Rhinolophus ferrumequinum: one gene and its partners. The protein of the gene in region 4 purifies or fractionates together with the protein of the main gene of each other region. This does not show direct contact. Links are inferred from orthologs where the notes say so. Each region holds a gene or a part of one and is shown on either strand. Other genes may lie near its edges.

Evidence for each region.
Region 1: the proteins of PSMG2 (region 4) and PSMG4 purify together in Homo sapiens (affinity purification with mass spectrometry; 3 studies listed by BioGRID and IntAct, counting the BioPlex papers as one, with this or other methods). This does not show direct contact. The link is inferred for Rhinolophus ferrumequinum from reciprocal best matches to the Homo sapiens genes PSMG2 and PSMG4.
Region 2: the proteins of PSMG2 (region 4) and PSMG3 purify together in Homo sapiens (affinity purification with mass spectrometry; 4 studies listed by BioGRID and IntAct, counting the BioPlex papers as one, with this or other methods). This does not show direct contact. The link is inferred for Rhinolophus ferrumequinum from reciprocal best matches to the Homo sapiens genes PSMG2 and PSMG3.
Region 3: the proteins of PSMG2 (region 4) and PSMB9 purify together in Homo sapiens (affinity purification with mass spectrometry; 3 studies listed by BioGRID and IntAct, counting the BioPlex papers as one, with this or other methods). This does not show direct contact. The link is inferred for Rhinolophus ferrumequinum from reciprocal best matches to the Homo sapiens genes PSMG2 and PSMB9.

The regions. Positions count from the first base shown.
Region 1 is NC_046292.1:90,572,467-90,580,165, forward strand, and holds the start of PSMG4 (proteasome assembly chaperone 4), read right to left. Parts: upstream 3,003-7,699; 5' UTR 2,868-3,002; coding exon 2,694-2,867; intron 1-2,693. UniProt on the Homo sapiens protein: Chaperone protein which promotes assembly of the 20S proteasome.
Region 2 is NC_046307.1:43,891,549-43,898,846, reverse strand, and holds PSMG3 (proteasome assembly chaperone 3), read right to left. Parts: upstream 2,567-7,298; 5' UTR 2,507-2,566; exon of another isoform or gene 2,453-2,506; intron 1,851-2,452; 5' UTR 1,829-1,850; coding exon 1,613-1,828; intron 999-1,612; coding exon 846-998; 3' UTR 518-845; downstream 1-517. UniProt on the Homo sapiens protein: Chaperone protein which promotes assembly of the 20S proteasome. May cooperate with PSMG1-PSMG2 heterodimers to orchestrate the correct assembly of proteasomes.
Region 3 is NC_046286.1:3,316,035-3,323,611, reverse strand, and holds the start of PSMB9 (proteasome subunit beta type-9), read right to left. Parts: upstream 3,003-7,577; 5' UTR 2,863-3,002; coding exon 2,803-2,862; intron 944-2,802; coding exon 876-943; intron 164-875; coding exon 32-163; intron 1-31. Other genes in the region: TAP1 (antigen peptide transporter 1), read left to right, coding at 3,471-4,068, 4,552-4,666, 4,830-4,960, 5,719-5,924, 6,351-6,548, 7,384-7,512. UniProt on the Homo sapiens protein: The proteasome is a multicatalytic proteinase complex which is characterized by its ability to cleave peptides with Arg, Phe, Tyr, Leu, and Glu adjacent to the leaving group at neutral or slightly basic pH.
Region 4 is NC_046302.1:5,541,664-5,549,001, reverse strand, and holds the start of PSMG2 (proteasome assembly chaperone 2), read left to right. Parts: upstream 1-4,327; 5' UTR 4,328-4,474; coding exon 4,475-4,531; intron 4,532-7,338. Other genes in the region: CEP76 (centrosomal protein of 76 kDa), read right to left, coding at 683-907, 1,531-1,612, 2,611-2,766, 3,821-3,883. UniProt on the Homo sapiens protein: Chaperone protein which promotes assembly of the 20S proteasome as part of a heterodimer with PSMG1.

The DNA of each region.
Region 1 (7,699 bases), on a different chromosome or scaffold from region 4:
GCCAGCCCACAGGTCAGTCTGCCCAGCCCAATTCCACAGGAATCTTTGTTTTCCTGCCTTAAGCTTTGGCCTGCACCTCTTCTCTCCAGCTGGCCTGGTCCTCAGCCCCTGGAGGGCAATGTCTAGGCACACAATGTAGCCAGGCAGTGGGAATGATTCCTTTCCTTCTCCTGCCCCAGTCTCGATGGAGGGTGACTTTCCAGCTGAGACACTCGCACTACTAAGAGCTATGACTACCGAGCGGTCAGACCACCAAAGCAGCCCACAGGAGGAGCCTTGAAACTGATTCACACGCTCCCCGCACTGAGGTCCTGGGCCTCACGCAGCCCACAGCCTTACACAGGTCTCTGACCGCGTCCTTAGGATTAGGAGACAAAGGTTAGGTGGCTCCAGGGCGCCATGACCTCCAAACACAGCCACACCCATCAAACCCCTGCCCCTCTAGGCCCTCCTTGTCTCCTCTAATAAAGGAAGACCTGGAATTGTCACCTGCCCAAAGGCCCACCTGCTGGTACCCACCAGCAAAGAAATACAATAAAATAAACCTAGGAAAAGAAGATTGAGAAGAAGGGGAAAGGCATATGAGAAGAGCAACCAGAAGGCAAGGGGGAAACTGTGTGAGGATATCCAGAAGCCCCATTCAGAGGCTGTGTCCTTCCCGACGCTTTGCCCAGGTCCTGCCTGATGCCTCCCTCCTCTGATTTCCCACCATCCCCGAGGCCCCTGGCTATGGAGCCTGGTCGTCCTCCCTAGCAAAGGGGGAATTCCCTGCGGCTGCCTCCCCCATTCACTCATCAAGGGTTTAATGGGCAGCCTATCAGGCACTAGGGACACAAAAACTCATAAAACGGACAAACTGCAGAGGGAGCAACACCTGGGGGCACAGCAGTGGGCTTAGAGCAGCCAAGAGGCCAGGCAGGAGGGTAGGAGCAGGAGAGCTCTCCCAGGTAGCAGGGTCTGGGGGTCACAGAAAAGGCTCCGGACTGTGCTGAGTTTCTCTCCGGAAAGGTCTGGAGCAGAAGAATGACATGTCTAACTGCAGTCTGCTGCCCCACGGAGAACTGGCCGTAAGGCACTGTTTGGGTTGAACATATCCAAAAAGATATGTCCACGTCCTAAGCCCTAGTACCTGTAGATGTGACTTGACTTAGAAACAGGGCTTTGCAGATAAAAAGATGTCAGCTAAGATGAGGTCATACTGTAATAGGGTGGACCCTTAGTCTATTACGACTCGGGTTCTTATGAAAAGACACACATAGACAGAGACACGCAGAGAAGGCCACGTGACACTGGAAGCAGCAAGTCAAAGAACACCAAGGATTGCCAGCAACACCAGAAGATGGGAGAGAGGGAAGGGATAATCTCTCTCTGAGCCTCCAGGATAAACCAGCCCTGCCAACACCTTGATTTCAGACTTCTGGCCTCCAGAACTAGAAGAGAATAAATCTCTGTTGTTTTTTAAGCCACCCAGTTTGTGGCACTTCATTACAGCAGCTCTAAGAAAGTAATACAGGAAGCGAAGGGGGAATCAGCCAAGGAGGAGAGATCCTGCAGGCCTGGCCCAGGGCACCAGGCCTGAAGGAGGTGAGCTGTGGTCGGATTCTGTGTATGTTTGTTTTTTTTTAAGTATGGTTGACATACAATATTAGTTTCAGGTGTACAACATAGTGATGATTATACATTTGTATGCCTTACGATATGGTCACCACAGTAAGTCAAGAAAACATGTGACCATACAAAGTTATTACAATACTGTTGACTATATTCACCATGCTATCCATTCCATCCCTATGACTGACTTATTTTATAACTGAAAGTTTGTACCTCTTATTCTCCTTCAACTTTTTTACCCATCCCCCTACTCCATTCCCTTCTGGCAACCATCAGTTTGTTCTTTGTATCTACGAATCTGTTTCTGCTGTGTTTGTTTGGGGTATTTTTCAGATTCCATATAAGTGAAAATCATACAATATTTGTCTTTCTCTGAACACTTAGTATAGACATGTGTGTTCTGAGGGCAGTGCCCTCAGATTCGCTACCATTCAGCACGTGGAGCGTGGAAAGGAGAAATCAAGGCTAACTCCTGGTTCCAGTGGAGTTATCATAACAGAGATAGGCTGGCTGTTACAGGAGCAGCTTTGGGGGAAGAAGTCAAGAGTCTGGTCTTGAATATGTCTCGTATGAGATGCCTATTAGACTTCCAAAGTAGAGACACAGGAGTCTGACGCTCAGGAAACAGGTCTGTACTGGAAACACAGATAAATGTCGGTGTGGTCAATACAGAAAGAGCATGAAAACTACGGCAGATGCCAACCCCAAGGATGGGAGTGTAACGGGAGAGCAGAGGTCCTACGGTGAAGCCCCTGGACACTCCAACCACAGAGGTGGGAGCCAGCAGAGGAGCGGGAACCGAAGGAAGAGGCCTGCCTGTGGTCCCACGTGCTGGCATGACGGCACACAGCCCCCCTTCGGGTGGTGAAGGTCCACACAGACCCTCCCTTCCTTAAGACATCACAGAAAGAGTTCTGGAGTGGATCCGGGGCCCACGCCCGCGCCGAGGCCCTTCACTCACCCTCCCGCCCAGTCACTCCGGCCCCCCAGCTGGCCGCGCCGCCTAGGGACCGCCGCACCTCCCCGCGTCCTCTCCTCTTCTCCACCCGCGCTCCGCCCGCCCAGCCCAGGCCGACACTCACGTAGCGGCTGCACATGGCCACGGCGAGGTTGCGCAGGTGCGGTGTGGCCCCCACCCACAGGAAGAGCGAGTCCGTCAGCCGCATGACGTGGAAGTGGACCAGCTGCTCCCACAGCCTCGCGCTGAAGTTGTGCAGGGACACTTCCCCACCCGCGGAGGCCCACTGCCCCTCCATGCCGCCCGGCGGGCCCCCGGCCCACAGGAGCCGCAACTCTAGTCCCCCTAGCGGTCGGTGATCCGGTCAGACCGGAGCAGACGAGCGCCGAGCGACCGAGTGTGCCTCCGCTTTCGGTCCCGGGCAGTGGGTGGGGCCTAGGGCCGGAGTGGGTGGGGCCTAGGGCGGGAGTGGGCTGTGCCTAGAGCTTGAGTGGGCGGGGCCTAGGGCTGGGGTGGGCGGTGCCGAGGGGCGGGGCCAGGCAGCTCAAACTCTCGGTGCAGACAGGATCCTGGCGGCGCCACCCCGCCGCCTTCTCTAGGCGCTTCTGTTCATCGTTGAACGCTGGAGGGAAACCCGCTCTTGTCACCAACCCGGACAGGCACCTACCGCCGCCCGGCAGAACTCGCCCTCGCTTGTTCCCTTCCTCCGCCACCCCAGTTAGTGCAGACTAGTAGCACTGCTGTGCTGGAGCTAGGGGCAACGTCTTCCCAGGTCGTGACACGTCGCCCTACAAAGACAATCCCGTTTTAATTACGTAATTCCTTAAGCACCCGAGAGCAGCCACCACCTATCATACCATCTTGTGTTTAGATTATCAAAATCTTCCTCCTCCTGGCAGCCCTGTAACTCCAGGCTTCCCTGGACATAGATAGCCTGAAGAATGGCAACGATGTTGGGAGAAAGCTTCTATAAAGGAAAATTGCGTGGACTGAGTTGCTGGGAGAATGAGCAGGCACGCTTATGGATTCAGACCTCCCTCTCTCTCACACACACACACACACGCAGCTGCAGTTATGTCCAAGCCTTGAACTAACTTTTTAACGTCTCTGAGACTCAGTTTCTTTATCTACAAAATAGAAATAATAGGTACCTCTCAGAGAAGTGGAAAGGAATATGAACAAGTACGAGAGAAACACAGTGAATGGTGGCCATTATCCCTGAGGGACTCTTTAATTTTAGTCACTTTGAGACACTACAAAGTTGAAATAAGGAAGCCTTCAGAATGTTAAAGGACATTGCAATAAAAGCAAACGGTCCATTTTGTCCGATTCTGTTAGAACTGACTGTTGGATTTTAAGTCAGAACTATCAGTTCTGCTTTTTAAATCTCTAATAGGTTTAAGTTGACTATATTCAAATTTTAAAGAGTAAGTATTCTTATAGGTTTGTCCTATTTGCTAATTATCAGTGATTCAGTAATATAGTTAATTTTCAGGTCAATTTTTAAACAGCTTTATTAAGATATAATTGACATGCAATAACTGCACATATTTAAAGTATATAAATTGAAGTTTTGACATATATATAACCCATGAAACCATGGCTATAATAGAGATAATGAACATGTCCACCACCCCCAAAGGTTTCCACAAGCCCCTTTGTAATCCCTCCTGTCTCTCCCCCAACCACGAGTCTGCGTTTTGTCACTACAGATTAGTTTGCATTCTCTAGAGTTTTACATAAATGGAATCCTACAATGTGTACTATTTTTTGTCTTCTTTTTCACTCATAATTATTTTGAGATTCATCTAGGTTGCTGGGTGTACGAATAGTTCATTCCTTTTTATCGCTGAGCAGGATGCTATTGTATGGCTACTCCACCGTTGTTTATCCATTCACATGTTGATGTTCATTTGGGCGGTTTCCCATTTGGGGATATTACAATAAAGCTTCTATGAACGTATGTGTACAAGTGAGTCTCTGTAAGGACATATGCTTTCATTTCTCATAGATAAATACCTAGTAGAATGGTTGTATCATATAGTGGTTATATGTGTAACTTTTCAAAACCTGACAAACTGTTTCTCACAGTGATTTGCATTTTCTTAAGTTCTAATGAACTTCAATTCATATTTCACATCATACACAAAAATGAATTCAAATGGTTCATGCACCTAAACATAAAACATCAGACTATAAAACTTCTAAAAGAAAACAGGAGAAAACTTTTGTGACCTTTAGTTAGATAGACAAAGATTTCATAGATAAAACACCAAAAGCATGATCTACAAAAGAGCAAATTGACAAACTGAATTAATGGAGCAGATGATCTCACCCTCACCTCAACTCTAATACCCTCTAATGCTTTGTACTCCTAGAAGACAAACACAATTTTTAAAATGGAGACTTTATATCTAGAGGATTTTAAAGACCTGTCTGGGGAAATGTAATAGTTAACACCCTATTGCCTCACTCTCCTCGCCAACATCCACGCAGCACAAGTGAAAGCATGCTCCTCTCTGCTTCTTCGTCTAGGCTCTGAGCATGCCTGGGAAGTCACATGACCCTGGAGGAATGGTTAACAACCAGTGATGCCCCTCAACATCAGCTGCCCCTTAAACACTGCCCTGCCTTCCCCAGACTGTGTACTCTCTCGCTTACCCTGAGGACTATGCTCTTCAAGCCCTAACCCTACAAACCCAAGTTCAGCAGACGACCCTGCTTCTGATTCTATAAAGAAAACAGAGGTTATCAGGCTTGATGTTCCCAATTCCTTGTCCCTCTACTCAAACCCTCATCTTCATCTGATCCCATTCTTACCTCCTCCTACTTCTCTTACAGGGAAAGACGCGCCTCCTCTTGTCAAAGTTTAATCTATCTACTTGTGCTCTGACCCTATCCTTCTCCACGTCCTCAGGAACCTCACTCCATCGACTATGGTGGACTCTGAGATGTCCCTCCTACATCCCCTTTCAAGAAAGGACTTCTTGTCCCAGCTGCTGGAAATGCTGTTAGCAGAATTCTTCTGCTGTGTCCTCCTTCAGAGTCTGCACACACTTCCTAGGGCAGCCCGTATCCAATGACTCATGGAGGTAATAGAATAAAGGCCAGGCCATTTTGACCCAGTGCAGGACAAGGACAACTGTGATGGGCCATTTTCACTCCAGAGCGTCTGTGGGATCAGCGGAGGCTGACTACTACAAGGGTAGTATTTACTTTACACCGTCAGAAGGAATCAAGGACAGATGATCAGGAGGCTGAGTGCAGTCATCCTAATAAATTCTTATGGTCCCTTGATCAGTTTCCAGACCTGGAACTCAGTAACTGAAGAAATGGCCCGGTTCCCTGCAACACCGTGTCAAGTATACACGTATTACTTCCCAGCCCTTCCCCAAAGGGTCCAATGGCCATTTATTCAGATAACCATATACTAGGGAAAGAGGAAGACCCAAATATTTCAAGGGTCAGAGTTGGAATGGAGTTCTGGAGACCTGAAGTGTCATCAATGTCCTCCTGCTACAGTGGGAACATACAGGAACCAGACAACAAATGGAGTCCTGGCCAAGGATCCATTGGGTCTACAGACCTCTCTGGGGTCATTTGCCTGGTCCCTGAATATATAATTGGAATGGACATAGTTGGAAGTTGGCACAGTCACCACATCGAGTCCTTGGCCTATGAGTTAAGAGCTATCATAGTGGAGAAAGCCAAGTGGAAGACTATGAAACTGCCCCTTCCCCAGCCAATCAACATTGCATCCAGGGGAGGATGGTGAAAATTAGTGCCACCTTTGGGGACCAAAGGATGCAGTAATGGTGGTCCTCATCATATCTCTACTTCACCATCTGCATCCTGGAAGACGGCACTGGACTACCATACTCAGCCAAGAAGCAGTGCCAGTTACAGCTGCCATAGCAGATGTGGTATCTTTGCTAGAGCAATATAATAAGGCCTCAGGTACATGGTATATGACCAAGGATTTGGGAAATGCATTCTTTTCTATTCCAATCAGAAAAGAGGAGCAGAAAGAGTTTGCATTTACATGGGATGAACAGAAATATTCATTTATAGTTTTGCCCAAGAATATGTTAATTCTTCACCTTCTATCAGAATGTAGTTTTGAGAGACTAGACTATCTAGATGTCTAGACATTCTACATAATATCACATTGATGCATTATATCATAGTCACCTCAGTTCACCAATGCCCTGTCTTTGGTTCACACCTATGGCCATACGGGGATCCCACAGAAATAGCTGAAGAGTGAGGTAAACGCCTAAGTTTAGCTCTTGGATGGGTCGGTGTGGGGTAAAAGCTACAAATGGATGGCAGCTGCACTACAGCCTCACTCTAGCATTGCACCCAGCTGTCCATCTTGCTGCTGCCACCACCAAATGTCCTAACTACCAACAGAGATCTAGCCTTAGGCTCTGTTATGGCACCATCCACATGGTAGCAAGTTGGTGATGTTGGGCTCTTTCCAGCCAGAGGGGCCAACAATTTGTTCTGACAGGAAAATAACCATGTTTCAGGTATGGGATTTCCCTCCCTGTCCACAGGGCCGCAGATGGCGCCATTATCTGAGTACTTTCAGAGAGTATGGTCCTCCTGCATGGCACTCGCATAATATCACATGAGGCAGCAAAAGAGGTGGGAGAGGGGGCCCAGACCCATTCCAGCCACTGACATACCACACTGTATGCCACCCACAAGCTGCTGCCCACAGCAGGTAGAAATGCTCAGAAATGATCATTTAGAAGGATGGAGAGTTGTCTTCCAGGACCCTGTATACAACTTGAACCAAAGTTTGTATGATGCTGTGTCTCCAGCAAGAAAACCTCATGAGTCAGGGATCCAAGAAGTGGAAGCAGAAGCAACCTCAACTCCCATCATTCCCAACAACACATTTAGGGGATTGTGCTTCCCAAACAGATTAGGGGCTCTGTTTCCCAAAAGGAGGACACTGCCACCAGGGGACACAGCAACAGTTCCACTAAGCTATGTTATGGCTGCCACTGGGCACTTGGGGCTCCTGTGTCCAGAGTCCAGCAAGTTGAAAAAGAGTCACCATCCTGACAGGGGAAGTCCACCCTGATCAGCAGGAGGAGATAGGGCTTATCACCCAGTGGG
Region 2 (7,298 bases), on a different chromosome or scaffold from region 4:
GTGACCAGGGGGACGACGGAGCCCCGGTGGGTCCCAGGCGACTGTCAGAGGCCTGGGCAGCCAGAAGCTGACTTCTGTGGTGTAAATGCCGTCTAAAGCCAATGCCTCACCCCAAGCTCCTGCCAATCCTTGGGAATATTTCCTGGGATTGTTTCCAAAGGGCAGACCCGACCTGACGTGCAACCCTTCAGCAGCTCCTCACTGAGCTCAGGATCAAGCGCAAGGCCGCAGCACAGCACAGAAGCCCTCCGCCTGTCCCACCACAGGTGTCACGCTCAGCCAGCCTGGACATCCTGCAGTCTGACAGCAGGATTGCCTGCCCTCCCCGTGCTCCTACCTCCAGGCCATTGGGGGAAAGGCCCTTCTTCCACACGCAGGGTTCCCACTCCACCGCGCCCCCCGCCCCGGGAAGGGGCAGTCAGCCCCGCTGGCCTCCCCCAGGCTGGCACACCACACTGAACTTGGCCGTGTGACTGAGGTTCTCACCACCCTTAAGAAGGCTGCTGAGGCATTCTGGGTTATGTGCTTATTTGTACAAACAGATTCTCCTCCAATAACTGATTCTGTACATCAACTGGCACGACCATTCTTTCCATTATCAAGTATGTGCAACTCCTTGGACCCTGGTGAGGACCAATCACGAGTCTCCCAACACCCCACATCCTCCCACCATCCACGGATGGTATCAGCAGCCAAAGAGAAGTCTGCCGGAGACAGGAGAATTTCTTCTGGCTCCAGTTCCTCCTCCTGATGGACTGAAGGCAGGGTCGTCTTCAAGTCGCCCGGAGGGGTCTGAGTTTTCACCTGGCCCCGCTGAGCAGCAGGTGTGGCCGCTAACTCCAGGGTCACCACACCTGGCACGTCTGTATCACCTCCTTCAAGGCCTTCAGCCCCTCCATGCTTCTGTCCTTCACGGCCATCGCAAGGAGGACCGCTCTGTTTCCAGCTTCTTGAGACACAAATGTCACCAGGTTCTTTGCATAGACGTGGATGAGGGGCTGGTGAAGGGAAGGGGAGAAAACCACTTTAACGGCAAGGAATCTGTTCTTCCCTCAAAGCCTTCATTAAGTGTCCCCCAGGAACCCAGACCGGCTGCCCACACCACCATTAAGTCGCCCTCCGAGAAGTTCCATACGACAGCGATTCAGAGTTCAACAAGACTCAGCACTCGTCATGTAAGCACACTGCTGAGGAGGCATCGTTCAATTTCTCAGTGCTTTCTGATTCCCGTCTCTTCCAACTATCTCTAATCTGGGAGGCCTCAAGAAAGACAAATGCGCAGAGGGAAAGCGTCAAATCTCACAGAGGATCTTTCTACAATGGAGCAAAGTCAGCCACTCATTAGCACAGTGTACCGTGACAGGGTCCACCTGAGGAGGGCGGCCCACGTTACAAATCAATACCTTCACTTATCTGCTGAGTAAAATGCTGACGGGCTGGGAAAAGCGTCAACTCTGGGCAGGTGGATGCCCTCACACCCAAAAAGGCCCCAGAAAATGCTGTCACCCGATGGCGGCGGGGGGAGCCTACCAGACTGCGTGTCTGTATTTACAAATGACAGCCAAGGAGGCAGCGTTTCCTCCCCACCGGCGTTCCCTGCCCAACCAGTTACCTCGTCCTGTCCAAGGAGGACTTTTGTAGTAAGCAGAGGCTTGCTGATGTCACTGGCCACATTGGTGGGCTCCAGGGAGACCAGCGTACCCATCTTCCCAAACTGAGTCACCACCACCAGGATGTGACTGCTAAAGGCTGTGCAGACCACCTGAGTGGGGACCCCACACACCACTTCAGTCTTCTGCTTTGATGTCACCAACGGCGTGCCTTCCATGGTTGAGTCTCTTCAATGGCACCTTTAGTTGATGTACGAAGGAAAGATGGGAGGGAGGGAGACGAGAGGAAAAGGCGCGAGTCAGTCAACGTCAGGTGGGCCGTGCGACTACAACGTTAAGTACCATTTGGCATTAAAACAGAACCATACGGAGGCCCATTCAAAAGCAAGTGTTTGCCCAATACAGGTTTCACCGGGAACGTCCTAGATTCGTTGATGAGACACGTATATACCGACAGGCAGAGAAGGCGGAATGTCAAAACACGCTTTTGTCTGTGGAGCGGGCTGCGGGGCCGCGTTTCCTCCTGAGCGCAGCCCTTCCCACGCGCTCGGCCCCCGCGCGCCGCATCGCCGCGCGACCCGCTCCCCCCCTGAGCGCGCTCCCGTGCCTCCCGGGAGTCATGCCACGGCCACCGGCGCGGAAGCAAGCTCCGCAGGAGCCCAGGCCGCGCAGGAGCCGATGGCCGCGCCCGCCGCCCCTCTGGCTCCCCACGGAGGTTTTACTTTCTGTGTTTCGGGAAACCGCCGGCCCCACAGAAGCAGCATCCCCCCCCCGCGGCGGACGAAGACCCCGGAGGCCGCGGGGCAGAGGGCGGCTGAGGAGGGACCACGGGGAACACCCACCCCTGTGGATCCCGCTCGCACGCACCCACGCGCCGCCACGCCGCCGGCGCTCACCTGGCTCAGCGCGGCCGGAAGTGACGCACGCGGGCGATGCGGGCCCCGCCTCCACTTTCGGAGCCCAGGCCCGCCCACTCATCCGGCTTCCACCGCCGGAAGTTTAGCTGGTGGGACTTCCGGTGCCCGGGCCTGTGCGCTGGCCCGGCCTCCCGGCGGTTGCGCCGCGGGGTGCGGTGCTCCGTAGAAGGGCCTGGCTGGGCGCCTCTAGACACGGTGCCGGGTGACTGGGGAAGGGGACAGCGGCCCCTGCCCATGGGCCTCGGCCCCGGGCCCGCAGCGAAGGGACTTCCGGCTTCTCCAGAAGGGGGCCCTCCAGCCCTCCTGAGGGGGGCCCTGTGCCTCTGTGGTTGGGGCGCCTCAGGAAGGGGATCTCCGGCCCCTTGGCCTTGGGTTCTAGGACCCTTCACATAGCGCAGGGAGCTGTCAGAGAAAAACCGGAGCTGAAAGGTTTAACTCCTGAAAACAGTTTTCAGCATGTGCACGTAAGAAAACGCCCAAACCTGTAGAGAGTTTTTGTAAGCGTTCATTGGAGCCAGACTGGTGACAGTTGCCGGGGAGCAAGATCTCACAGGCTCCGGAGAGACAGTTTGCAGTTTCTTTTATGAATTTGAAATTAAGGCGCGAACGAAGATGACGTGGAGGTGGGAGGAAGGCAGGTGGGGACGGGCCGAGGGGAGTTTAGATGACGTGCTCGCTTGCCTCGAGGTGTGTTAGCCGCGGTGCGCAAGAAGATGGACAGGGGTGCTTAAGGCAGACATAAACCTTTTACTAAAGGCGCATGCCTGGGGGATGTGACTACTGACTACCCACCATGACCTGCTCAGTGAGGAATTCATGATACGATCACCCTGTGAAGTGACTTTCCCTAGAAACCGTTTTTCATGCACAAGGACTATTGCACGAGGGCAGAAGAGACCTCAGTATAGAACGAGCTCAATCCCAACTACAACGTGGGCCAGTGGGAATTCACAGCGGAGGAGCAGGGAGGGGTCAGTGGGCTGGAAGTTACTAAGAGGAAACAGCAGGGGCGGGGGGAGGCTAGCCCCACCAGCCTAGCAGTGGGCTTGCTGCTGGCAGGTCAAGGTGATCAGACCGCCAGGGAGATGGGGGAGGGTAGTCAGATAAGGAGGAAGGGAGATTCTTGCTAAAATTGGAAACTGCAGAGACAACACAGAGTCCAAAAGTAGAGGCCTAGTTGAACTAGAGTTCAGGGGAGTCTGAGTAGAGTCCGGTCTAGGAGCGAATTTTTGTCAAAGCTCTCTGCCCTGAAGTAACACAGAGCCCTTTAACCCCCCAGTTGGTGCTGGGGACTCTGCACCCCCAAGCCCATCTGGGATGTCCTTTTGTGTCCAAGACAATAACGAGAACAGCTAACGTTTATTTGGTACTTAATATGTGCTAGACGTCGTTGTAAGAGGTTTATATATAGTAACCCATTTAATCTTAACCCCTTAAGTAGGAACACTATTGTTCCATTTTATAGACAGGATGTTCAGGTTCTGAGAATTTGCCCAAGGTCCCAAAGCTGATAGGCCTGGATATGAGCTGCAAACCTTTACCCTAATTACTGGTCTCATGTCACATATGCCCAAGTAAAGGGGAAGAGGAGAGAACAGTGCTGCCCCTGTAGCAGGATGATTTCTGGTTCTCCCCAGGACCCTTGAGAGCACCCCCATCCCGTACCACTGCTCATCCTTCTCCAAACCGGAAGTGTTATTGGCAGAATGGGGGGGGGGTCCTTGTGCTAACCACAGCAATCTGAGCCTTGAGAGTCTTCCTCCGGGGTTAACATCCCTTGAAACCCCACACTCACAACTTTCTGTCTAGTTTCCTGACAGCCTCATCAAGGCGCACCACCCCCAGCCCAGCCTGTCCACACCGCATACCCCTTAGGGAGCCTTGGCCACCATTTACTCCTTTGTCTAGTAACTTAACTCCTTACAAAACCCAATCAAATCCAGTGAAGCATGCTCCTGCTAAAATGATTTCTGGTGGCCTAAAATAAAAGGCATGTATACAAAACATGGTAAAAACGAACACAAAAATCAAGAGGTAACTTGTTTTTGAGCTTTCTTACAGCCAGTTCACAGAGGGAAATATTCTGAGTTTCATGGTTCCAATAACACAAAACGAAAGAAGCATATAATTTCTCAGGGAGTCCAAGTTTTTGTTGGTTCTAAATTTAAACACATCCACCCCCACATATCCAAAAATCAAATTGCCAATGTATTGCTTTGCTGTGTGAAACCTTCAAAAGATTCATTCATTTTTATTCACTTACTGTGCGTTCTCTCTCTCTAGATAAATAGACACAAGGAATCTGGTGCCCCCACAATACCACCTCTGAAATGACCTATCACCTTTATAAAAGAGATGCTGAAGAGCAAAGTGGGCCATGTTTGGATGACGCTTAAGCAAATACGTAAGTGCTTTCATTGGACTGTTTTTTGGTGTAGATCTTTGCTAAAGACTGAGCAGGAAAGAAGTGAGAGGCGGGAAGGCTGTCCTGGCCTGGGCGGTGGCGGTCCAGGGGCTGGCTTCCTGGGGACCTCCTGGGTATGCGGGCAGAATGCATCACTCAGAACTGTGGAGCAGCTCACTGTCTGCTGTAGACTGTTCTCCAGCGCAAGGCGGTCATTGGACTGGAAAGATCCCTAAGCGAATTCACTTAAAAAGGAAATCAGGTGGTAACGGTGTCAATAGTGGGGAAAGAGAATTTGAGAATTCATCTTGAAAAATAAAAAAAGGGGAGAAGATCTTGAATTTGTCTTATATTCAAGGAATTTTAGGTTATGAATGCAATTATATGCTAACTTGTAGAACCAACAAAGAATTAATCAAGTGTCGGTTTGGCAGGGTCATAATTTTCCAACAAACTGATAGCTCAACACATTGTGAGTCACTGTGAGTCCCTGGCCCTTGCGGAAATGTACGATGGCGCCGTCAACCTTCCCAAGAGCCTCCCTTAATCCTTTGCTGTTCAGCTCACTTCTTGTTGAAGTGCCATCCTGTCAGCAGCCTTGTCAGTTTCCGTGTTCTCAGTTGCCCACCTTTCCAGCACCCCAGGCTCCCCTACAGCTGCCATGGCTTTGGGCTCCATCTGAACATCCCCCAGTCGGACAGTTATGGGTGGCCTAAATCTTGCGTTTTTCTTGAGGTTACCAGTTTGACTTTGCAGTTGATTTGCACTGGACTCCACGGCGTCACAGTGTGAGTTGCAGGCCTTCCAACGTTGGGTACGCGCGTGTGAGATTCAGGGTCTACCCCCAATGGGGGTTTGAGTAGAGCCCCATGTGTAAACAATCAGTTCATTAGTGCAACGGCGTTGCGACGATTTCTATTTTCCTGTGCAGCCTCATGACTGCAGGCACTCAGGTAACGGAAACGTCAGCAGTAGGGACCACCAGTGTGTGACAGTCTTGGAATGGGTCAGAATTCCACATTCACAATCAACCTCTTTGGACATCACTTTGCACTTTTGGGTAACTTGCCCAGTCACCCTTGGTCTCCCAGCTTCATTGGGGATGACGATTGCGCCTGCCTGATGGCTGAGGTGGCCCACGTGCAGCAGGTCACCAGGCCTTTATGAGTGTAGCTGTCACATTTATCACTGGCCAGCTGTTCTCCCATCCTTCAGTAAGTGTGCCTGCCGGAGGACAGCTGGGTGCATGTCAAGCACTGAGATTAGGACGGATTCATGCTCAAGGCGCCGCTCGCTGCCTTGGCCTGTGGCCTGGGCGCCCGGCCTCGCAGGAGGCTCTGTGCAGGGCTTGCCTGAGTCACGGTCTTGCAGACACAACCCTCTCTCCAGTGTCTGTGAGACGCAGTAGGAGGTGAAACCGTATATAAGTGATTATCATGCTCACGTCTCTCATCGGGCTCTGAGAGGAGCTGGTAGCAGACAGTGGAAGGTGACAATTATGGTACAGGCCTGAGACATGGGCCTTAGATATGGATATTTTCTTATATTTGGGTTACAGAGTGAGGGAAAATGTACCACTAGGGTTTTTTCAAGTGTGGGTGGCAGACATCCTGTGAAACCATCTCATGCCCAAAAGGGTGGTAGGTGGGCTCTCACAGCTGAGAGACCAGAGACTCGCACAACTTCTCCCATCTCTTCACTCTGCAGTCATTGTGTTGGCTCCATTCTCACAGAGCTGTCCCTGTGTTGTGGTAAAATCACTGGCCTCTACACCTCAGTAGCTTTACTTTCCCAGTTCTCCCAGTAAAAGTGCCAGGATTGAATCTCTGGAGAACAGCCTGGTTCATGAGCCTGACCTTGAATCAGTCACTGTGGCCAGGAGATGGAATCCATGTATTGGCCAGTTCTGGGTCACAGGCCCAGCCCTGGATAATGAGTATTTAAAAAATAAGTTAATGTGAAAGCAACTTCCCATGCATTGGGAGTTAAAGCATCCTTCTAAATAACGTATGTCGAAGAAGAAATCATAAATGGAAGTTATAAAGTACTTAGAACTGCCCGCCCTTCCCTCCCTCCAGCTCCTGGAAACCACCCATCTACTTCCTGTCTCTGGACGTGCCATTCTGGACATTTCCTGTAAGTGGACACACACTGTGTGGCCGTCATGTCTGGCTTCTCTCACTCTGCCTCATGAGGTTCATCTGTGGCATTCCTTTTGGAGGAACCGATTCTTGTATGCTGAATAATTGGGACGATTAAGTGACATCTCATTTGCAGAAGGGCTGAGTTTAGGGCCTGACACGTACAGGGTGTTTAATAGTTTCCCTCTTTCCATGGGTCATTGGAATCCAGGGCGATACCACATAA
Region 3 (7,577 bases), on a different chromosome or scaffold from region 4:
GGTGTAGTGTGAGGACCCCAAAGCTTCATACCCATGGAGCTCCAGCTGGTAGGCAGCCATGTCGGCCACAGCCTGGGCGTCAGCAGCCGAACCGGAGAGAGCACAGTAGATGCGATGGTGTAGTGGGGACAGCTTGTCAAACACTCGGTTCACCACCGCCTCTCTGTCAGGGAGGGGTCGACAATCATCGGCGTTAGAATTGCAGGAAGATTGAGGTTAATTGTCTAATGTTCCTCATATTTATTTGACAAGAGAACGACCACGGAGTGCACGAAATGTAATGCTTGGATCAAAGCAGGGAGCAAAAAAATCATCTGAAGTAAATGAAACACTGCAAGTAATCAAAATTAGACTTATTTTTAGGCTCAGATTTTATAACAAAATAAAAAATATTAAGTTACGACTAATGTTCCTCATCAATTTTTCTTTGCTAGTAACCATCTTGAGGAAGTTATGTGTTCTAAACATAAAGTAAGTAATATTGATCTAATCCCATATAGTCATTTTACATGTTAGGAAACTGACCAGGAGGAAGACAAAATTAGTTCAATAGGTGATAGATGAGAAACCAGAATTTCATCTTGTCAGAACCATCTTTTCTGCCTCTAACTATAGAAGGAACGAGGGCCCCTCAAATCTCTCTCACTATCCCCTTCTCAGACCTTATTCCTTCCAGGGACAGGCCACGTAGCATTCAGGCCCTGTATGATCCTCCTTGAATTCAGAGACACAAGCACCCACTTAATAGCTTATTAGTAATCTTTCTGAAAGGTTAATTCCATTTCTCCAAAGCTCCAGTTCACCAGACTCTTAATGAATGGGTAAGGAAAAGGCATATTTGGGGCCCGTAGATTTCTTCCAAAGCTGGTACTTACCCTGCAGATACTCGGGAGTCAGAACCCACCACAACGCCCCCATCAAACTGTACTGCCATGATGGTTGTCTGCAGAGACACAGAGGATAGAATGTCGGAGCAAGAAAAGCCTTGATCCCTTCCTGTCACATTCCCAGAGGAAACCTTCCCAGAGAGGGGAGGGGACTGGCTCAAGGTCACACAGTAACTCAGGCCAGAGCTAACTCCAGTACAGGATTTTTTTCTCCATCTTCCCATTTTCTCTATTGTCTCTCCCGGCTCAAGGGAATGGCAGCCTGGCCATGGTACAACACAGGAAGAACTGCATCCCTAAGCCCCAAACTTCCAAAGTGGAATCTTTTCCTTTGTAAAGAGAGAGGTGGGGAGGAGGCTACTAGAGGCAGAAATTTGGCTTAGTGGGCTCTTCCAAGCTCCGGTGAGCCAGCCTCACAAGTAAATTATCTCCACCTCATGTGCTTGTATGGCAGATGTGGTACAGACTTGGCGAAGCAAGTTACCGTGACCTTGGGAAACAAGCGCAGGTCTTTTTTGGGGTCCAGAATCCTCCATCTACATCCTCCCCATCCCCCCCTTAATCAGAAGTGAGCTCTTTCAGTTTATTGAACCCTGGAAAATGTCGAGGGGGTCCATGGTCAGCAGGGTCACGTCTCAGGAAAGGAAGAAAGCAGCAAGGAGCATATGAGACAGTTTAAAACAAAGGTTTCAAGTAAGGATTTCTGATTAAGAGGCAAATAGATATCTCATTAGTCAGGGGAAGAAATCTGTACTGAGAGAGGATTTGATTTGAGAGTTTCAGCTGACTTTTTCAGGTCAAGAAAAGAAATTAAAGAAGAGTAAAGGAGGATAAAGCTACACTTTATCTAGTCCTGTTGAGTTGGAAAAGGGCATAAAGATCCTTCGTTCAAATGAGGAAACTGAGTCATAGAGAAGGCACGTGACTTATCCAATCACTCAGAATTAATAACAGACTCAGGTCTAAAACCCAGGTCCACTCTGTTTGGCTGCTACTTCCTACTTTCTGCTGCTCATCTGGCAGTGAGGAGAGAGATTTTCTAATTTATAAGTGGGATTATTACTCTCTTTCTCACCACTCCCCAAGTTACTCTGCCCCCCCCCCAGCCCTCCGGGCATATCGCCCGTGAGTCCTCTCTCACATACTGATTTACCATGAATAGAGGGCCAGAGAGCAGGGGCAACTCATCCTCGGGGCTATTCCTCTGTAATAAAGTACCCCCAAGCCAAGAATGGTAGCAATAGTCTGGGAGCAGAAGCCAGCCAGCGGTGGGCTGCCGTCTGCCCCAGGAGCCCAGCCTGGGCAAAGCCCCCCAGCACGTGCGTGGGAGTGGGGAGAGAAGGCACCGGGAAGGGAGCAGGCGGCACCTGGACCAAGCAGGTGCCCTCCTGGGCCAAGCTGGGGAAGGGCACCACGGGCTCCCATGGAAACCTCAGTATCAGTGCTGGGGCTGTAAGTTGCCCAGGTGCCAGTTTATCAAAGTTCTGTGTGATGAGTTGGCTCTTCTCAATCAGTGCCCATACCCCACCCCCCAAATGATGTCCTATTGCATCCAGAGCACCGTTTCCTTATCTCTTTGCTCCTTCTCCAGCCCCCTCCTGATTTAACCAGCCCCTCTCTCTAGTCCAGAGTGAAAGCGAAAGCGCTTTAGAGCAAGCAGCTTCCCCTTGACGCTTCCAGCTAAGAGCCAAAGCACCCCTTTCTCCACCAGCCTCGCGTGCCCAGGCCCTTTGCGGGCCCCAAGATGATCCCCTTCAGAACAGACGCCCTGGATTCACTGCAGGGTGCAAGCACTGGGTGCTACAAGGAACCTCCTCACTCTTAGTCTCCGTATTCACTCCTTGGCGCTTCCAGAATCCCCCTGTCGCCCCACTTCCTCCACCCCTCTGCTGACCCTCACGCCCAGACTCATTACCCCAGTGTGCACTTCTCCGGCCCGGGGTAAGTCCCCGGTTGGCGCTCCGATCCGCAGCATCTCGGCGCCGCGCTCCTCGCCGCCTGCGGCACTGGTTTCGGACTTGGGACAGCCAGCTGCGCGCACGCTACAGTCCCGCCCCCTCTCCTCGCCCGCCAGGGGGCGCCAGCGTCCTCTCCGTGAGGCTTAGCGCCCCGACGCTAACCTGTGTGGGGCAGATCTGCCCGGAGACAGGTGACTAAAGAGCCCCACTCTGAGGCTGGGGTAAAGAAGTCTTGACAAGTGGATCCTACTTGAGGTGGCAAGAAAAGGAGGACGGACGGGTGTGCGTGATGGAGAGGTGGAGCACCAAGGCAGCTCCCCAGAACCTCAGAACTGATTAAACGGCCACTCCCGACAGAGTGGGGCCGGCGCGTCGGCGAGTGGGAGGCTCTGGTTGGTGCCGCGGCGCTTTCGTTTTCCCTTTCCCCTAAACGGCTCGCTTCTAGCCAGCACCGCGGGCTCTGCCGGCTCCCGGGGCTTTCCGAGAGCGCCGCCCGCCCGCCCCCTCGCGCCCTGCCCGGCCGCTGGTCCCCGCGCGCTCGGGACAGACTCCCACAGCACCCAGAGCCTCGGGCCCAGCGGGGACCGCCGAGAGTCCCAGGCCCGGGCGCGACCCCCGCCCGCCCATGGCAAGCTCAGCGCCCCCCGCTCCGTGCGGGTGCCACTGCCTCTCCCGAGCTTTCCTCGCGTGGCTGGGGTCAACGCTGCTGCTTCTCGCCGACTGGGTGCTGCTCCGGCCGGCGCTGCCCGGAATGTCATCCCTGCTGGTGCCCGCCGCGCTGCCGTTGCTCAGGGTCTGGGTAGTAGGCCTGAGCCGCTGGGCAGTGCTGTGGCTGGGGGCCCGTGGGGTCCTCAGGGCAACAGTTGGCACCAAGAGTGAAAGCAAAGAAGTCCAGGGATGGCTGGCTGCTTTGGAGCCACTGGCGGCGGCGCTGGGCTTGGCTCTGCCAGGACTTGCCTTGTTCCGAGAGCTGGGCTCGTGGGGGTTCTCCACGGACAATGACAGCACCAGGCTACTACACTGGGGAAGTCGCCTGGACGCCTTCGTCCTCAGCTACGCAGCGGCACTGCCCGCAGCCGCCCTGTGGCATAAGCTCCGGAGCCTTTGGATGCTGGGAGGTCACAGGGGTTCTGGAGACGCGGTGCGTCGGCTTCTAGGCTGCCTGGGCTCAGAGATACGTCGCCTCCCGTTCATTCTGGTCCTGTTGGTCCTCTCCTGCCTTGGTAAGGGGGTTCAGGGCCAGAGGGATGGACGCTGGGGAACTGGGCAGGAATCAAGAGTAATGATCCGTGAGATAGGTTACCGAGCTCTGGGAAATGTGGGTCAGAGAAAGGGGACTCAGCTCGGGTCTTGAGGAGACCACTCCTGGACGGGGTGGGAAACGGAGACCTGGACTCCAGTGCTGCCCCAGGCGTCACTTCACTAGGCCTCCTGGGGTAGGCAAGTCCTTTCCGCTGAGGCAGTATTTTTCATACAAGGGTATCTTAAGATACTCCATGATCTCTAGGCTTCCTAATTAAACTCCTCAAGGTCTGGTGGGGCCGCAGAGCTTTAAAGTTCCAAGCCGGCCTGCTCAGGTGCTGGGTTGTGTTCTGTGAGGACTTTCTGCCGCTGCCCTCCAGGATACTGGCGGGGGCGGTCTGGTTGGGGCTGGCCTGTTTAGACTTGATATCTGTGACTGACTCATCTCTTCTGTCCCATCGCAGGTGAGATGGCCATTCCCTTCTTCACCGGCCGCCTTACTGACTGGATTCTCCAAGATGAGGCAGCAGCTGCCTTCACCCGAAACATAACTCTCATGTGCATTCTCACCATAGCCAGGTCTGGGGGCTGAAGGTGGAAGGCTGAGAACAGGCGGTGGTGGGGGGTCGGGGGGCTGCAAAAGAGGGAGGTGGAAATGGAGGCTGCCGTCTAAAGTGCAGGGACCTGCTCTGTCCCCTGAGCACACATTGACCCTTGACCCTCTGTCTCTGTCTGTCTCCAGTGCAGTGCTTGAGTTCATGGCTGATGGGATCTATAACTGCACCATGGGCCGCGTGCACAGTCACCTGCAGGGAGAGGTGTTTCGGGCTGTCCTGCGCCAGGAAACAGAGTTTTTCCAACAGAACCAAACAGGTTTCTCATGAAACTCTTCCATTGTACATCCATATGCTATTTATATTCCCTGAGATCCCCTTGTACTTATAACTTTGATATCTCCCTCTTTCTTTCTCTCGCATAGACATTGTCATTTCTTATTTTTGGTATGCCTCAAGAGCAAAATATTGTACTCTTTACCTTCAGAAAAGCCTAGTTTTTCCAGCCAAGGTTTTTTCATAAATTTATCTCTATTTATGTATTTAGATGGAAACTATAACATTGCAAACCTGGACATTTTGATATCAGAGTCCAACTGCCTCATTTTACAGAGAAGGAAACAGGCCTAACCTCTTAAGTGCTGACACTTGCATGGTCACGTATGGATAGAGACGAACTTGAGGACAGAACCCATCTCTTGATTCCCAAAGCTTCCTGGACTGCTTTCTAGCAGCACCCTCCATTTTCCTCCAGCTGTGATATAACCAGCCTAAGCTCTTCCTGCCTATGTGTACAGCGTGGCGTATGCAAGTTCTTTAAGCAACAGAAATATGGGAATTTATATGGGCGTCAATTTCTTTACAATTAAAATGAAGGCTTTTGGCCAGACTTTCCCTGTCTAACATACTCTCCCTGCATTGAGACCCCCAAACTTCCCTGTACCCCGACTTGTTTTTCCCAGCCTCCTTAGAACACCATGTTGACACCCCTCCCCCTGGACCCCGGCTCACTACTGGTCCCTCCCATCACTCTGAGCCTGTCATTCACTCCTCTCTCTTTTCCCCAACCCCTGCCAGGTGCCATCACATCTCGAGTAACAGAGGACACGTCCACCTTGAGTGAGTCTCTGAGTGAGGAGCTGAGCCTATTGCTGTGGTACCTGGTGCGGGGGCTGTGTCTCTTGGGGCTCATGCTCTGGGGGTCACTGTCCCTCACCATGGTCACCCTCATCTCCCTGCCTCTGCTTTTCCTTCTGCCTAAGAAGCTGGGAAAATGGTACCAGGTATGTCCAAGGAGTTGCCTCAACCTACACAGACACTCATCTCCCTCACCTGGAGGACCCAGTTCCTCTTCGCTTTCTTTTCTGCACCCTGGCTGATTCTCCATGTTCCCGGGACTCCCCACTCCTGTAGTCCGTGTTCCCACATTGCTCACTGTTAGTCTTCATGGTCTCTGTGTGTTCTTTTCTAACTTCTGCCCACAGTCTGTCTTTAAGACTACGATCACCAATCTCAAGAATATGATCCCATCACGCTTCTGAGTCATTTTCCTCTCCTCTGGATCTCTTTAGGATCCCAGGGATATAGCCAAGTCCCTTTCTCTTCTCTCCTGTCCCTCTGTCTCTTCTCACCTTTTATCTCCAACCAGGTAACTCAGGTACTAGTGTCCCTTATGGTTTGCCAACCCTGGCTTGGACATGTCTCCACAGGTGCTGGCAGTACAGGTGCGGGAATCTCTGGCAAAGTCCAGCCAGGTGGCCATTGAAGTCCTGTCAGCTATGCCTACAGTCCGGAGCTTTGCCAACGAGGAGGCTGAGGCCCAGAAGTTTAGGCAAAAGCTGCAGGAAATGGAGACACTCAACCAGAAGGAGGCCCTGGCCTATGCAGTCAACCTCTGGACCACTAGTGTGAGAACCTGGAGATGAAGGCCTGCTCCCTTTCCCCCAACATACCTTGACTCCATTCCCTTTCCCGTGACCCGGCTCCACACTCCTCCTCCACTGGGCAATGGGGGTTTCAGTGTTCTCATCCTAGCAACCTGAGGCTCAGTTACCCTACTCAGGCTTCCTGACCCACTCCCTCCTTTTAGGCAAGCACCTAGCAGATGGCTTTCTTTCTCTGTGGCACACAAAATCTGCCCAACCCCCTTTTGAGGAAGATTCCATGCCTTCTAGAGCCTCCTTTGCTTCTCAGAGGGTGCTCAGGGAGCCAGAAATTCCTGCACCTGGGCTAGCTTCATGCTGGGACTGTGTGATGTGCTAGTGAGAGCCACGGGAATAGCAGAAGCCAAAGATGGGGGCACCTGTGGCGTCTTTAGAGGCCTAGACCAGCAAGCAGAAGCTCCTGGCTTGGTGCTGCCATTTACTAGCTCTGTGACCGTGGCCTCGTAACTTACCTTCTCTGAGACTGTTCCCTCATTTTTAACAAGTGGGAGTGATATAACCTGGTTTACAGAGCTCTTGATATGAATATTAGCTTACATTATATTCACGTAAGCCTTCTGTGACGAGCAAGACGCTCCCCAAACAAGCCAATAATGGTGATGATGATGGTGACTCTGTCACGTGTCACTGAGTAAGAGCACGGCATCTCTATGGTTCATTCTCCCTTTCTACTTACGGAGCGTCCTGCTGTTACATGGGGAAAGGGACTTTATATCTCATTAACGCTAAGGATTCTGGTTCTTTGTGCCCCGCTGTTAGATTTCTACCACAACCCCTTTTCTCCGTGATCTCTCCACAGATCTCAGGGATGCTGCTGAAGGTGGGAATCCTATACATTGGTGGGCAGCTGGTGACCAATGGGGCTGTCAGCAGTGGGAACCTTGTCACGTTTGTTCTCTACCAGATCCAGTTCACCACAGCTGTTGAGGTGAGGCCCTCCCAGTTGCACTCCCCAATGGTCTTCCTTGCCCCATCCCTCTGTGTCACCCTCTG
Region 4 (7,338 bases):
CCTTTATCCCTAATCCTCCAGAAATAATCACTGTATTATCTATACAAAACTGAAAGACCCAACACCTTGGAGCTAGCAATTTAAGCCATAACTGCTTTATTAGGGTAACACTTTTCCCTGGGGGGGAAATAAATTTTACTGCTGCATTAGCCATCTTAATAACGTAAAACTCTGAAGATATAATTTACAACTGTTAACTTTACAAATATAAAAATTTCTATATTGACAATTAAAATGTATAAAACACCTTTATAAGATGAAGCGGGTAAAACAATTATAGGAATCAAGTATCATAATTTTAAAGTTATAATAATGAGTTACAGATTCACATCTAAACTTTGATTATTTTAAGTTACATAACACCATAAATCGAGTCATCTTTCATAAATGAGAAGAATCACGTCTCATTTTCCACTATATCCCCAGCATTTGCCTAATAGTACCATGCACCTAACAGGTATTTAAATGTTTCCTACTAAAGAACCAACCATTAAACAGTCAAAAAAGAAAACAAGAAGGTGGGTAGTAGTAGTTTATGTAGAAAAGAACAGTGGGGAAAAATTTTTTTAAAAGGTTAGGGAGATTCACCCGTTATATATTTCTTATTATAACAAAAGTTATTCTGCAATAAAACCTCACAGAGATTTACTCAGTTAAATGACAATTTATTATTGCTCCTTACCTAAGCTTTCTCTGTGTACTTCAAGTAAAAAGCCATCGTGAAAATCTGGCTCACAGGCACATGGAACAGGTTTAGAACGAAAACGCTGGTTTCGAAAATGTAAACATAAAGTAAACGTTGAACAAACTTGTCCTGGTAAAGGCTCAGGTTCTTGCAGATGTTCCAAGAAAGCTTTTCCACCCAAAACCTGAAGGTAAAGATACCTCCGTGTTGGATCAATATTAGCTGTAAAGTGTAGCAATATATATGAGGAAACTGCCAAATAATGTAAGGAATGTGAACAAGACAATAGGAAATAACAACTTGACAGAAATAAAAACAAAGACTGGGGGGAAAAAAGTAACAAATTTACAGTATACCAGGACCATTTGCACCCAAGGAAGAAAAGATACATAATATGGTATCTTTTTCTGAGTTTGTATTCTGGCTACTTTTTCTCAGCTAGAAAGGAGTCAGAGCCAAGGTTTAGGATAACTTTGCTCTTTAGTTGCTATCCAACTATCCATTCCTTCACCTCCACAAACCAACTCAATTATCTCAACTCAGCAAAGTGTACTTGTGAGATAATTACATAGCCACTAAAAAAACACAGTTGTAAAATTTTTATAAAATATATTACTAAAACATGAGAAACAGGCGGTCCTATTTTTGCTTCCACTTTGCTATACATTAAATCTTCTGATATCATGCAAAACAGAATTGAAGCTTTTTGGATTAGTCACAAAAATATAAGTATTTCATTCTGGAAAAAAAAATTGAAGTGTTTTCTATCAAATACCAAACACTACAGCACGTCTATTCACAGTACTATCCACAAGTAAATTAAGGTTAAAAAGAAATACACATACTTTTTTTTAACAACGTTGATTGTTTATCAGTAAAACAAACTGATTGTTTTGGAGAGGAAGGAAGTTCTTGATCAACACTGTCCTAGAAAGGCAGAAAAATACAAATCAGAAAACAAAAATTATAATTAAGAAATGCCAATAATGGAACTAAGAACCAAACCAAAAGAAGATAGAATAAAGCCCCTTATTTTCCTCAAACAGTTCAAATAATGAAAAGCCTGCAAAAAAGGTGATGCAACTAGTCAGTCCTACAGTTTAATGTTAAGGAACTAAACTGTCTTCAAGCAATGTCCACAGAATGCTAAAAAAAAATCCTTAATACCTCAAACAAGGTCAAACTTTCTCTAAACCTCATATAACATTTGGCTTATGATTGTACCATGAACTGATTTTAATAAGGAAGTGATATTCACACACAGCAGAAACTGTTATTAGGTCAATTTTTATACCAAATGGGTTTACAAACCTCAAAAACCAAAAAAACGAGGCTGTATTAAAATACTTATCCCCTGGTGTACTATGAAGTCCATCCAAATTCTACATTATATTTCCCAGGTATTGAGGTCACAATTTCTCATTATTGCCTCATTTTCAAAAGGCCTACTTACTAATTTGTACACTGAGAGGGAGGCTATCATTCCATTACTGACCTATTTGTCTGAAAAGCTTTAAAGATTCTTATGCAGACAATTATTTTCTTAAAGGAATTGATAATTTCTTAATCATAGATAATATTGTCCCGAGTGTTTATTTTAAAAATAAGCCTAATTTTTAAAATTATAGAATATTAGTGAAAAACAACTAGGTTATGTTTGACTAAAATATATATACTTAAAGTTACAGACTTAGAGAATAACAGGAGAAAATTCTGTCACTGTAGAGAGAGAAGAATGGTATATATGTACAATTTCATTGATACATAATCCTACATTGAATCTACATTCAATTGTAGAATTAGTTTATACTTGAAACAAGGATATTACTAGGCAAAGCTACCATATTTTGAAGTGGTTTTACTAAAAGAAGAGGCCCCAAAATATGCTTAGACTCTCAGATTTTCTCCTCTACAAGCTTACTCACAGTAACAAAATTAAGTTCTTTCATCACATCGTCAATGATTCCACGACGTCTAAGAGCTTTGATCAAATCTTCTGTTGATAACTGTTGTTGATCAGGTGCTAATTCTTCCCGTATTGTCTCAGCAAGGATTTCTCTTATTCTGCCATGGACATCCATCTACGTAGAAAACTCACATTACAATTCACATTACAAAGCAGACAAATATTGCCACTTAGTTCATTTCTTTCTAAAATACTGACAAAGAAAAGAATAATAGGAGAGTACACTAAAATCGGGAAGGCTTCTCAAACAAATAATAAATGTAAAATTGTTACCAGAATTCAAAGATAATAAAGGCGAGATTTTTAAAAGGAAAAAAAATTTTTTTAAATGAAAACTTATACTACAAATTCTAGAAATAATCTCTACTGGTTATCTACTACTTTTGTTACTATTTCCCCACAAATAACATTCAACCAAAACAATCTTTGGAGAAAGAGTATAGTATAATCAAAAGAACACAGACCGAGGGGAGGGGATCAAAGTATGACTTTCACCTTACAACTTATTAGATGTGATCTTGAGTTAACTTATTTACCTTTTATGAATCTGGAAAAAATAGTGCCGTCAAGGTTATTGTGAGGCTCAGATAAAAGACGCTAAACACTTAGTACAAAGCCTGGCATCCGAGTGCACAATAAACGGTAGGTTTTATTACTTCAGCTTAATTGCATTCAGTTGAGCACCTCAAAGATACAATGTTCTTCTTGAGCTCTGAAGTATCACAAATGCTTTCATTACAAATCCTTACTAAATTCTTTCATAACTTCTTTAAGAATTGTCAATTTGGTTCAATATCAATGACACCTGAAGTTCCACCCTTAAATTAATTCTAATTTCTGACCTTTGAATATAAACCTGCTCCAAACACAACTTATACTCGATATGACTTCCAGAAGTCATTGGTACACGCTTCATTTTCACAACTGTCCCATAATACTAACGCCGTTCTATCACCTCAGACTCTTACTAGCACTTTCTGAGCTCGTTCTCATTATCGAGCCTAGACAGTTCCTCTGGCTTCAAACCCGAAGCTTTGCACATCCCACGCTCTGCGTCTCACAGCCTTTGCTTGAGTCCCCAGCAAACAGGTGCCACAGTCGGCCGGGACAAGGGACACAAAGCTGGACACTTGGGGCCACTGGCGGGAAGAGCGCCCGCGGCCCCTCACCTTGCTCAGCTGCTGGTGGATAAGCTGCTTCAGCTCAGAGGCTTTCTCCGGAGGCAGCGACATGCTGGGGCTGGCGCCTCAACACGGATTCCCTTCGCTTCAGGTGCCCCAGCCGGCCCCAGAACGTCAGTGTGGGGTGAGCACAGAGCCGGCGCGACCACTTTCCTCGCGCAGCTCCCGCGGGGGCGCGACGCCGCATCAAGCCCGGCGCTGAGCGTGAGGCGGGGACGTGGCTGCGGCGGCGCCCAACTGTCGTTTTCAAACGGCAGCGGACAACCAGGCCTCGGAGCTGTCCCCCGCTCTGCCTGGTCAACTCCACCCACTCCTCTTCCCTCGGGGTCCCCACCTCGTGACCTCAGCTCAGCCAAACTCCTTGCCTTGCTAGTGTCTCTGGATGCGCGCTCTCCGCTCCCATTTCTCCCTCCCTCGAGGTCCCTTTCTGTTTTCTGGAACGGCAGATACGTGGACGAGCCTCTCAGGACCTCGCGCCGAGGGCTCGAAGGACCCAGTCCGCCTGGCCCCGCCCTGCCCGGGTCGCGCGGGGTTCTAGGGGCTCGAGCGTGCAGACCTTGAGAGCTCGTGGTTCTCGCTTTCTCGCCGCCCCGGTTCTTCCCAGGCCGGCACTCATCTCCTTCTTCCCACTGCAGTGCGACCATGTTTGTTCCCTACGGAGAGTCGGTCCCGGATCTCGCGGGTTTCACCCTCCTGATGGTGAGTCTCCAATTTCGCGAACTGGCTTGAGGCTGCTACCTCTCGGGAGGCGCCTGCGGTACCGCCACCCCAACTCGGGATTTTTCGTCCGGCCCTGTGAGAAAGCGAGTACTTGTTTCTATTTCGAGTTTTAAGCCTGCGCCGAAAATGTAGAGAGGTTGTCGCTGGAGGCGGCGGTCCAAATAGAACCTTTGTTGGCGCTATCACCAAACCTTGTATCTAAGTCTCCAGTTTGTGGTCTTTGTTGACTGTACAACGTAATGTGTTTGATGTTACCGATACGTTGTACATATGTGGTGCGGGACGTTCTCTTTGCTTTTTATACTAGAAAATCTTTTTTCAACTAGTTTTAGCGTCATTCTTAAGCTAGCAAGTCAGTCATTAACCAGAACATTACAATAGAGTAACAAGGCAACTTTTGCCAGTAGCTAACATATGGTTCTATCGCTCTTAAAATTGTCCATATTAATTCATTGTTTCAATAAACATTCTATGATGTGACGATATTAGAATAACACTAGGCCCATGTTCTCAAAGAGTTTACAGTCTAATAGGAAACACGTAAATCAATAAAGGCAATATATGCTAGGATAGAAGTTTTAAAAAGATACAGAAAGGCCTTAGGACTTATTGGGGGAGGGACACATGGCTCTGTTCAAAGCGTCATATGTGGAATCTTAAAAAAAAAAAAAATAGAAAGAAAGAAAAAAAAAAATAGAAAGAAAGAAAAAAACACCAAACTCATAGATTACAGAGAACAATTGGAGAGGTAGAGTGGAAGGGTGGTTGGGTGAAATGGGTGAAGTAGTCAAAAGGTACAAACCTTCAGTTTGCTAAGAGAGTAGATATTAAAAGTTTTTATCACAATAAGAAATTGTAACTGTGGTGATGGATATTAACTAAACTTATTGTGGTAATCATTTCACAGTATATACATATATCAATCATGTTATGTATCTAAAAGTGATACAGTGTTATATGTCAAAAAAGAATGATGGTAATAGAAAAATGACTTTTGGTCCGTTTTCATTGTAATGCATGAAATATCAATGAATGCCAAAATTAGTGTGCGATAGTGTTTGAGGAAGGGAATTTTCCATAATTTCACAGTATCTCCCTGAAAAATATTTATTAATCTCAAAATGGAAAAAGTACCTTTGCAGGAGCTACCTGGAGAAAAAAATGAAAAAGAAAAGCTTCATAGAGAAAGTAATGTCTAAAAGATTATTGGTGGTAACCTTAAAAAAGTTATCAGTGGAACAGTGAAGAGGGAAGCATATTAAAGTGGGTTGAATAAATGGGGAAGAGGTGGAGACGTGTATACGTATATATTTGTTCATTAATTCAGAGCTAAAGTTCCTGCTTATGTTTTAGTGGACAACCGTGGGGAATTTTGGCTATGGAAGGACACCTGGAAGTGAGGTGGTAGCTAGGGGAGTGTGTGGGATCAAGAGACGGTTTTTTACAAGGAAAGATATTAGAGTATGTGTATATGCTGATGGGAAGAATCCAGTAGTGAGGAAAAGATAGATGATACAGGAAAGTGAGGATCTAACGAAAGTAGCAAAATCGTTGAGAAGGGAAAGGGGATTACAGTGGATAACCAGCAATCAATGACAGCAATGAGAAGTGGGAGACCACTCTGAAGGACGCAGAAAAGTATGCAAAGGCCAGGAAAAAAAAATAGAATCAATAAAATTTAGATGTGCGTTAGGTATGGTTGGTAAAGGAAAAGGAAAAAGTGTCCTGGTTTAGGTAATTGGCTCAATAATTGTTTCTCTTTTCTGAAATACAAAATATGAGGACAATTTTGGGCAAAAGTTTAATTTTGTACATGTTGGATGTGAGTTACCTGTGACATAATCATGTGGAGATACACATTAGGCTCTGGAGTTTAGATGAGTATTCCAGGCTGTAGCTACAGATTTGGCAGTTGGACTATTTGAAGTCATGGGGTGTGTGTGTGTGTGTGTGTGGTGTTTTTAGTGTGAAAATAAGCTCACTCCAACATTTAGGCGCTAATAAAGCAAACAGAAAGAGGCCCCAACATCACTTTTGTTCCTACCTCACTGCCCTCCTTTATCTCTTTCAGGTCTATAAAGCAATTCTTTTCTTGACCACCCTATTTAAAATTGCAGCCAAACATATACACACACACTGACAGTCCTTTAATTTTTCTCCACTGCACTTAACACTGTATATTTTACTGGGGTTTTTTTTTGTTTGTTTGTTTACTGCAGGTAAACTACTCTCCCTAGAATGGAAGCTTTACAAAGGCAGGAACTTTTGATTTACATTCCCAGTGCCTAGAGCAACGATTGACATATAGTAGGTGTTCAGTAAGTGTTAAATCTGTAGTCTCAAAGGTGGAGGAGGTCCCTGCTGGTACCTTGCTTGCAACTACAGGAGAGTCAATATGTACCATGTTTCCCTGAAAATAAGATCTAACTGGACAATCAGCTCTAACGTGTCTTTTGGAGCAAAAATTGATATAAAACCTGGCCTTATTTTACTATAATATAAGACCAGATATGATATGATAGGATATGATATGATAGGATATGAGATCCGAGGTACCGGATCTCATACAGCGGTACCTCGGTTTTTGAATGTGATCGCTCTGGAAGACCGTTGGAGTTCTGAAACGTTCGAAAACAGCCAACAGCTAGGCCTCAGGATGTTGCACTCAGCGGAAGCTGCGTGACATGTTCAACTTTCAAGGCATGTTCAAAAACTGAAGCATTTGCTTCTGGGTTTACGGCGTTCATAAACCGAAATGTTCGTCAGTGTTTGAAAACCAAGGTACT